Linked DNA regions of Drosophila melanogaster. The protein of the gene in region 1 interacts with the protein of each later gene in a pairwise test. Each region holds a gene or a part of one and is shown in the gene's direction. Other genes may lie near its edges.

What was found.
Region 2: the proteins of l(2)k10201 (region 1) and CG18262 interact in a two-hybrid assay, tested with the Drosophila melanogaster proteins (one large-scale study listed by BioGRID).

What each region holds. Positions count from the first base shown.
Region 1 is NT_033778.4:9,396,812-9,400,419, forward strand, and holds l(2)k10201 (lethal (2) k10201), read left to right. Parts: upstream 1-2,268; 5' UTR 2,269-2,277; coding exon 2,278-2,943; 3' UTR 2,944-3,035; coding exon of another isoform or gene 3,036-3,057; 3' UTR 3,058-3,088; downstream 3,089-3,608. Other genes in the region: Non1 (putative nucleolar protein 1), read right to left, coding at 1-1,303, 1,373-1,647, 1,773-1,820; CG33774 (uncharacterized protein), read right to left, coding at 3,036-3,057, 3,137-3,237. UniProt on the Drosophila melanogaster protein: Vital for development.
Region 2 is NC_004354.4:8,151,148-8,155,206, forward strand, and holds CG18262 (uncharacterized protein), read left to right. Parts: upstream 1-1,800; 5' UTR 1,801-1,896; coding exon 1,897-3,306; 3' UTR 3,307-3,386; downstream 3,387-4,059. Other genes in the region: Gbeta5 (G protein beta subunit 5), read right to left, coding at 1-996.

The sequences.
Region 1 (3,608 bases):
CTCGCTGCCGGACATGTCCACACCGAGGCCCTCCATCGTCGACACCAGTTTCTGTACGGAACGGTCACGCACCTTGGGCTGCTTGTTTCGTGGGATGACTGGCTTGTTCTTTCGCGACGACAGTCGCTTTTCGTCGCGCAGCTCGAAGCGCTTGCCACGGATTTGCTTGGCTATCTCGCGGATCTCCTTGAGCGTCTCGTCCATGGTCATATCGGGCACCTTGTAGACGCCGCTCTCCTCCCGCAGTCCCTCCTCGCGCTCCAGCTCCTCCAGCTTGTCGAAGATGTCGGCATCGATGTAGTCGGCAATGTTGTGACCCTGCCAGAACTCTGGAATAATGTCGTAGCGCTCCTCCTCGGGGATTTCGCTGTAGTTCTTCTTGAGGTCCAGCGTGTAGTCGTCGCCCATCTCCTCCTCGATCTCCTTCTCCAGCTTGCGCTTGCGCTCTGCCTTGTCGGCATTCTGTAGCAGGCGCGCCGAGGCCTTTTCTGGGATGCAGGGTGCACGAAGTTTGTCATCTCGCGGCGCTGGCATCGCCACATGCAAGCGGTTCAGGATGTTGTCCACCTTCTTTGTGCGCATCTTCTGGTCAACACGGTACGAGAGCAAACGCTCACATGCCTCGGTTTTCACCTCCATGACACCGGTTTCCTGTACGGTGGACATGAGCATTACGGGAATGTTCTTGTCCTCCTGTAGTTTGGTGATAATCGCTCGTCGCTCCTCTGGCAGATCCTCTGGTGTTAGAATATCGATCTTGTTGATGGCCAGGATGAGGGGTTTGTTTGTAAACAAAGGCTTGATGCTCTCGAACAGCTTGACCTGTTCCTCCAAGGAGTGTCCGCACTGCTCGGAGATATCCATGAAGTACAGGACGCAGGCGCGCAAATGAGCCAAGGCAGTAATGGCTTGCATTTCGATCACATTGCGCTCTTCCAGGGGATGATCCAGGATGCCGGGTGTGTCAATGACCTGCCAGCGCAGATATTTGTAGTCTGTGTGTCCCACGTACAGGGATTTCGTGGTGAAGGCGTAGGGCTGCACTTCCACATCGGCGCGGGTGATCTTGTTGATGAACGAGGACTTGCCCACGTTGGGGAAACCGCAGATGATGATGGTACGCGAATAGGGATCGATGGTGGGCAGACGCGAGAGATGCTGACGCACTTGCTCCAGATACGTCAGATTGGAGGCCTGTCGCTTCATAATGGTGGCCATGCGACCCAGGGCAGCTTTCTTCAACTGTTTGCAGCGATACAGCGAGTCACCGTACTTCAGCAGGCGCACGTAGTCCTTGGCCACACTGCGGGATAAAAAATAGAATAGTTAATCGAACCTTGTTCGTTTGGGGATCTGTGACTTTGGCACTCACTTGTCCACCAAATGCCTGGCTGTGTTGAGTTGACCCAGCGCCAGCTTGTAATGATCCTTGTCGTACAGCACGTTCATCAAGTCGGCGTAGAAAGGATGCACGTCGTCCAGTTTGGGAAAGTCCTGAATGATCTGCGACAAGCGATCGTGGAAGTTCTGCTGCGTGTACTTCACCTTGCGCGTGTAGAATGCCCGGATTCTGGATATTTTGTAGCCCTTGTGGACCACCGTCGGGGTCTTGCGCTGTGTCTTCGACAGCATAATGTCGATGAAGTCCTGTGGAAAGGGCAAAAAATAAAATATTATTTACATATTGCGCATATTGGTAAACACCTCCAGTGAGGTTATGTCTTTGCTTCAAGGGGTGCTCCGCGGGACGGGCGCTGCTGGGTACACCTTACCTTTGCTGGCGGAACCACCATGATCTTTTTGAAGTTGTACAGACTCATCTTGGCAGGATTTGTTTATTTTCCACGCGTCGAAAGGAAAATAAATGCGGAATCGAAAGCAAAAACACCACGCGGTGTCAGCTTCGTATTCCAAAAAGAACCGGTTCTCGGGCGGAACCAGTTTAGGTTCACATGTGCTGCACGGCGATGCCAGCCCGCGTAACTAAGTCTGGCGATGTGGCATCATTTCAAAGGCATTTAAGATGTTTCAACTTAATTGCAGTTGTTTAATATAGAAATATATCCATCTAAAATATGAGCGAGTATTTCAATTCATTAATTATGTCTATTTTACGTATGCACTTCAAAAATTGTATTACTATTTCAATTCAAAAGGAAATTATTTTTAATTTTTATATAAATTAAACAAAATCACATCTTCCAAGAGGCAGTACAGTGGAAACATGTTGAAACTGGCGTAGGAACCAAAACAAAACATTTTGGCAACACAAACAAAATGGATTCGGAAGCTGCGGGAGTAGCACTTCTCTCCAGAGAGCAAATCATCAGGATACTAAGCGAAGTGCCAGCGGGATTCATAAAGCCCACGGATCCGCCTGCACCCAGTTTGGCGCCCTTCAAGAAACTCGGCGTTCTCGTGGACATCGATGACATCTTGGGCGAGCAGGATGCGGCGGCAGCTAGGATCAGGGACAACATAGATAAGGAGCAGAGCTACAGCTGCGTAGAATGCCGAAAAATGCTGCCCACTGCCCATCTACTGGATCTGCACATCACCGAACAGCACGATTGCTATTTTGCCGCCAGCGTGGAGCGCGGTGACAAGCCCATGTTTTCCTGCTTTCTGGAAGAGTGCACCATCAAGTTTCATACTGCCCGGCAGCGCAAGGATCACTGCATCATAACGCACAAGCTTCCGGCAAACTATCGCTTTGATCATAGCAAGAATAGGGGCAAACAGAAGCATCAAGGCAAAAGCAAACCCAATTCCATGGAGGTGGACGAGGTGATAGAGGAAACTAAAAGTTTGCCCTACGTCAAGGCCTTCAGCTTTGGACATCAAACGCAGAGGAGTTTCTACACAGGCAAAGATCAGAGATCTGGCAAAACACTGGACGATGTCCAGGCCATGAAGGAGGCCATTAACGACATCCTGGATTAGATTTGTACAACTACATATTTATTTTGCGAATGAAGCAGCATTATCATTATCCTGGTAGAACTATATTAGTCTGTTAGCGGAAACATCCTACATCATTTTGCCTTGGCACTGGGCCTGTAAATAAATGAAAATCGGTTTTATTGTTGATTCCGGGCTGTCTTCTTCCTCTTCTTCACCAAGTGGGATTACTTACTTTCCGGTATTGGCATTAATATAATGATAGGCAACCACCAGCAGGAACAGAAATACGCCCAGAACGTTGGAGAAAATGGCCAATTGCACGTCGGTGATCATTTTGCAGACAGTAACACGTTCTATGGATAAAAACAAACTAATTGATTAGAAACGAAGTGGGCGAGTGACACGTCATGGGTGCGGTGTGGAAATCGCGATTTCTGGCCTATTTCTGTATCCACCAAAATGCAACGCGGGATTATGCATCTCATTTGTCGATTAACTTCACCGATTGTTTCGTTTGCGTTCATTAACTTTAGTTTATTACCTTTTTCAGCGAAAAAACGAGCCGGTTTTTATTGTGTACAAATATTTCAGCGTGACCGTAGATCGACCACTAAAATATACCGATATACCTCGCGAACCATAAATAATACCAGATATACCAAACCGGATATTTAAAAAAAAAATCGTTTTCTTTTCTTTTTTTT
Region 2 (4,059 bases), on another chromosome or scaffold:
CTTGTTCTCGTGCCCGTACAGCAGGCAGACCCTTTCCGATTTCAGCGTGTCCCACAAGTTGACGGTGTAATCGTTGTAGCCAGCAAACAGTAATCTTCCACTGACCGAAAAGTCCACCGAATTGACGCCAAAGATGATGCTCTCCTTGGCGAACACGGCCACCTCGCGATCCGCTCGCATATCGTACAGCCGGCAGCTGCTGTCATCCGATCCAGTGGCTATGGCATCTCCGCAAGGATGGAACTTAACGCTATTCACATCCGATTGATGACCCTCGAAGGACTGAACGACATGACCAGAGCGCATGTCCCAGATGAAGGCCATGCGATCGCAACTGCCCGAGACAAAGGTGTTGCCCGTTTCGTTGGGAGCCAAATCGATGGCCATTACATCGCCGGAATGTCCGTGGAAGCTTTGCAGTAGCTGGCCCGATTCCACGTCCCACAAAGCGCATGTGGAATCGCCACTGCCCGTGAGGATTTGCTGATCGGAATTCGGATAGATGCAGCACGACATGTAGCTGGTGTGGGTGCCCACTGTGCGCTTCTTGGCGGCCATCTCCTCATCGGAGGTTATCGGATACACGGTGACCTTATTGTCTAGTCCGCCGCAGGCCACAAAATTGCCCGACGGCGCGTAGGCACAGGCCATAATCCAGGTGGTGGGCATGGTGACGGCGTGCTCCTTGTTCGTGGTGAACGCATCCCAGATGATCAGACGTCCGTCCTGCGACGAGGAGATGATGTGACGCTTGTCGGGACTCCAGTCGGTGCACAGGACCTTCGCCTGGTGGCCCTTGAGCACCTTACGCGGCTTGATGTTCACATAGGCGATCTGCTCCAGCCGCTCTGCGATGTTCGACAGATTGACGTCGTTCAGCTTCTGGCGCTCCTCCTCCAGTTTGGTCTTCAAATTCTCCGCCTCTCGCACCAAACTGGCCATCTTTTCAGTGGCATTCGCGTTCGCATTGCTCGCTGGCACCGCCGCCTCCGACATGGTTGCTCTGAGATGGCGCTTCTATGGATATCTCTCGGGGATTGTGTGTCCTATCCCGTTCGAACTTCTCCAATTGGACAGCGAAAAATCAATCCGAAAAAAAGTGTATACTCGAATACGAAAATCCGAATACACAGCGATAGGCGCGGTCGGTTATCGATAAGTTTTACCGTTGGTAAATGGCAGAATGTACCGTTACATATCCTTTATTTTCGGAGAACTTGATAAAAGATTGTGACGATGTTATTATTATTAATTTTCATCAATATGACAAGGTATTGATGAAAATTGGCGTCAAAATTTGTTAAATTTTTGTTCTGTTTTTGTTAAAAGCCGGTTTTCCGAATTTCCCTCATAAAATAATCAGTTTTTTGCCCAGAACTTTGAAAATAATTGACCAAATATGGTATGTCATATCTCGTTGAACTCGTAATGAAATTTCCAATCGAATTGCATTCAAATTTGCGAATTCAAAATTTTTCCATTTTTTTGCAAATTTTAATTTAATGTTACCCCTTAAAAAACATGAAAAATATGACACAAAAATAAATTTTTCTATGCCCGCCCAAAAGTGATAGGGTTCGTTAGTAGTGATAATTGGCTGTTCAAAACAGTTATTCTTTAAGCTGCATGATGATTTTCCGCCAAGTTATGACTAGAAACTACTTGTGATAACGAACTTATCGGAGTAAATACCATTTCAAATGTGGCGCCACAACCAAGGTAAGCTCAACACTGCGGTTCGTTAGCCAACACTACCATCAGCTGGGGAAAACCACCCTTCCCCACCCCCTTGAAACAAACACTTACAAAAAAGCGACGCCAACGGCTGGAATCCTCTGCTAATCCGGAGCCAGTTGACCGCCACTTCCACACAGGCAGACCAGGGAGCAAGCCGCGATGATCAAGGTGCAGCCACCGCCGGATGTGGCCGGTGGCTACCACAATCTGCGTTGCGGCGAGGTCTTATTCAGTGCACCCGCCTCCTACGAAGTGAGCTGCTTGCTGTGCGACCAGCGTTTGCCGTTGGACGGCTACCCGGAACACTTCCGGCTGAAACACTTCACGAACAGCTCCAGCTCGCTGTGTTCCAACGAACTGGAAAGCGATCCCATTGCCCAGGACGTCGTCGAAGTACAGGGAAATGAGGAGCTACATGAGGAACTGGCAAAGGAAGCTAGCCCGGACTTAGAGGAGGAGGAGGAGGAGAAGGAGGAAGGTTCCAAACGCCAGCATTACCAGCGTGCAGCGGCCATGAAGAACACCCTGGTGGAGACTCGCGAGGATTTGCTGGACATCGAACTCGACTGGACGGGCGGCGAGCAGTCGGAGCATAATGAAACTCACGAGGAGGAGGAGGGGGAATCGGATGATGATGACACGAAGGACAGCAACGACACGAAGGACATGCTCTTCCAATGCGATCAGTGCGACCGGGCGTACAACACCAAACGCAGCCTGCAGAGCCATCGCCGCCTAAAGCACAGCGAAGCCAACGGCGGAAGTCTGGACAAATCCGCCAGTGAACGCAATAGCAAGAAGCGGAAAGGTCCGCCGAAGGTGTACAAATGCAACGAGGAAGCCTGCAACCAGACATTTCGCACCGAACGCGATCTGCGCGGCCATCGCTGGAAGCACACGGGAATCTTCTGCGACATTTGCGGCAAACCCTTCACCCAGTCGGGCAACATGATGCGCCACCGCCAGCGACACAGTGGCATCAAGCCGCACAAGTGTCCGGAATGCGACGCGACCTTTTACACGCAAAAGGAGCTCTCCTCGCACAGTATCTGCCATACTGGTCGCATGCCCTGCATCTGCGAGGTGTGCGGACGACCTTGCCGAGATCGAGGCGTTCTCACGGCGCATATGCGTCGCCATACGGGCGAAAGGCCGGCCAAATGCGAGGTGTGCGGCAAGGCATTCTATAGCTTTCATGACCTCAATGTCCATGCTGTATCGCATACCAATTTGCGGCCCTTCGTCTGCGACGTTTGCGGCTCCACGTTTCAACGGAAGAAGGCGCTGCGGGTGCACAAGCTGCTCCACTCTGAGCAGCGCAAGTACGCGTGCAAATTGTGCGGCAAGACGTTCGCCCAGTCCGGCGGTCTAAATGCCCACATGCGCAGCCATGATCCGGCGAGAGTTAAGGGAGCTGTGAAGCCGCTGCCGCAATCGGTCACCATCGAGGTGATCGAGGGCAAGAGTCCGCCCACCACCACCATCACCATGGCCATCGACCTCAATGTGGAGGAGCAGCTGGTAAAGCAAACCGAGACTGCACCCACCACTTGGCGCCTGGCCAACTGAGTAGCTAGCTAGGATTAATATAAGGTTAGATGTAGTTCATCTATAAGTTCCAAATTGCGCCATAATAAATGAGAGAAATCAGAAGATTGGAAATGAATTAATAATCGTAAGAAACCAGAAGGCAGATGCATAAAACGATTGATTTGCGGTACAAAAGTGTCCTTTATTGGGGTTTCCTAAACGGAGAGGGTTCCAAGCTGTCAGCGATCCAAGTCCAGATGAGTCTGGGCTCTAATCCTTGCCAGCGTGTGCATTCTACCCGGGATTCTTAGCTCTAAACATGTAGTTCGTATCGCTATGGACTAAGTTAAGTATTGGGATAAAATAATACATACAGCCTTTGTTGTTTTTTTTTTTTTTTTTCCAAACGAAATTGATGATCATAAACGGAGGCTTTTGCGTTAAAGGTTAAAAAAATATATTCCCGCCCCTTCGTTGTTTTCAAAAAAGGTACATATTTTATATTCTATGCGCTGGTCGGTTCACTCATTACTAGTTTTTCGAAGCGATAAACTGAAGAATTAAAACCTAGCATAATTCTAGATGCAATATTAAGTAAACTAGTTTAAAATAGGGCTGACATTTCTGCCAAATGGACGTACTCAGTTACAAATATAGTTAAAATCAATCAAATTGACGAGAATGTTTTGAAAACTAAAGATTAATTAAGCACTGAAAATGCATTGATAAGGTATCACGGGTAAACCCAAGACCAACTAAGTTTTCCAATTATAGACCTATGTATTTACGTGA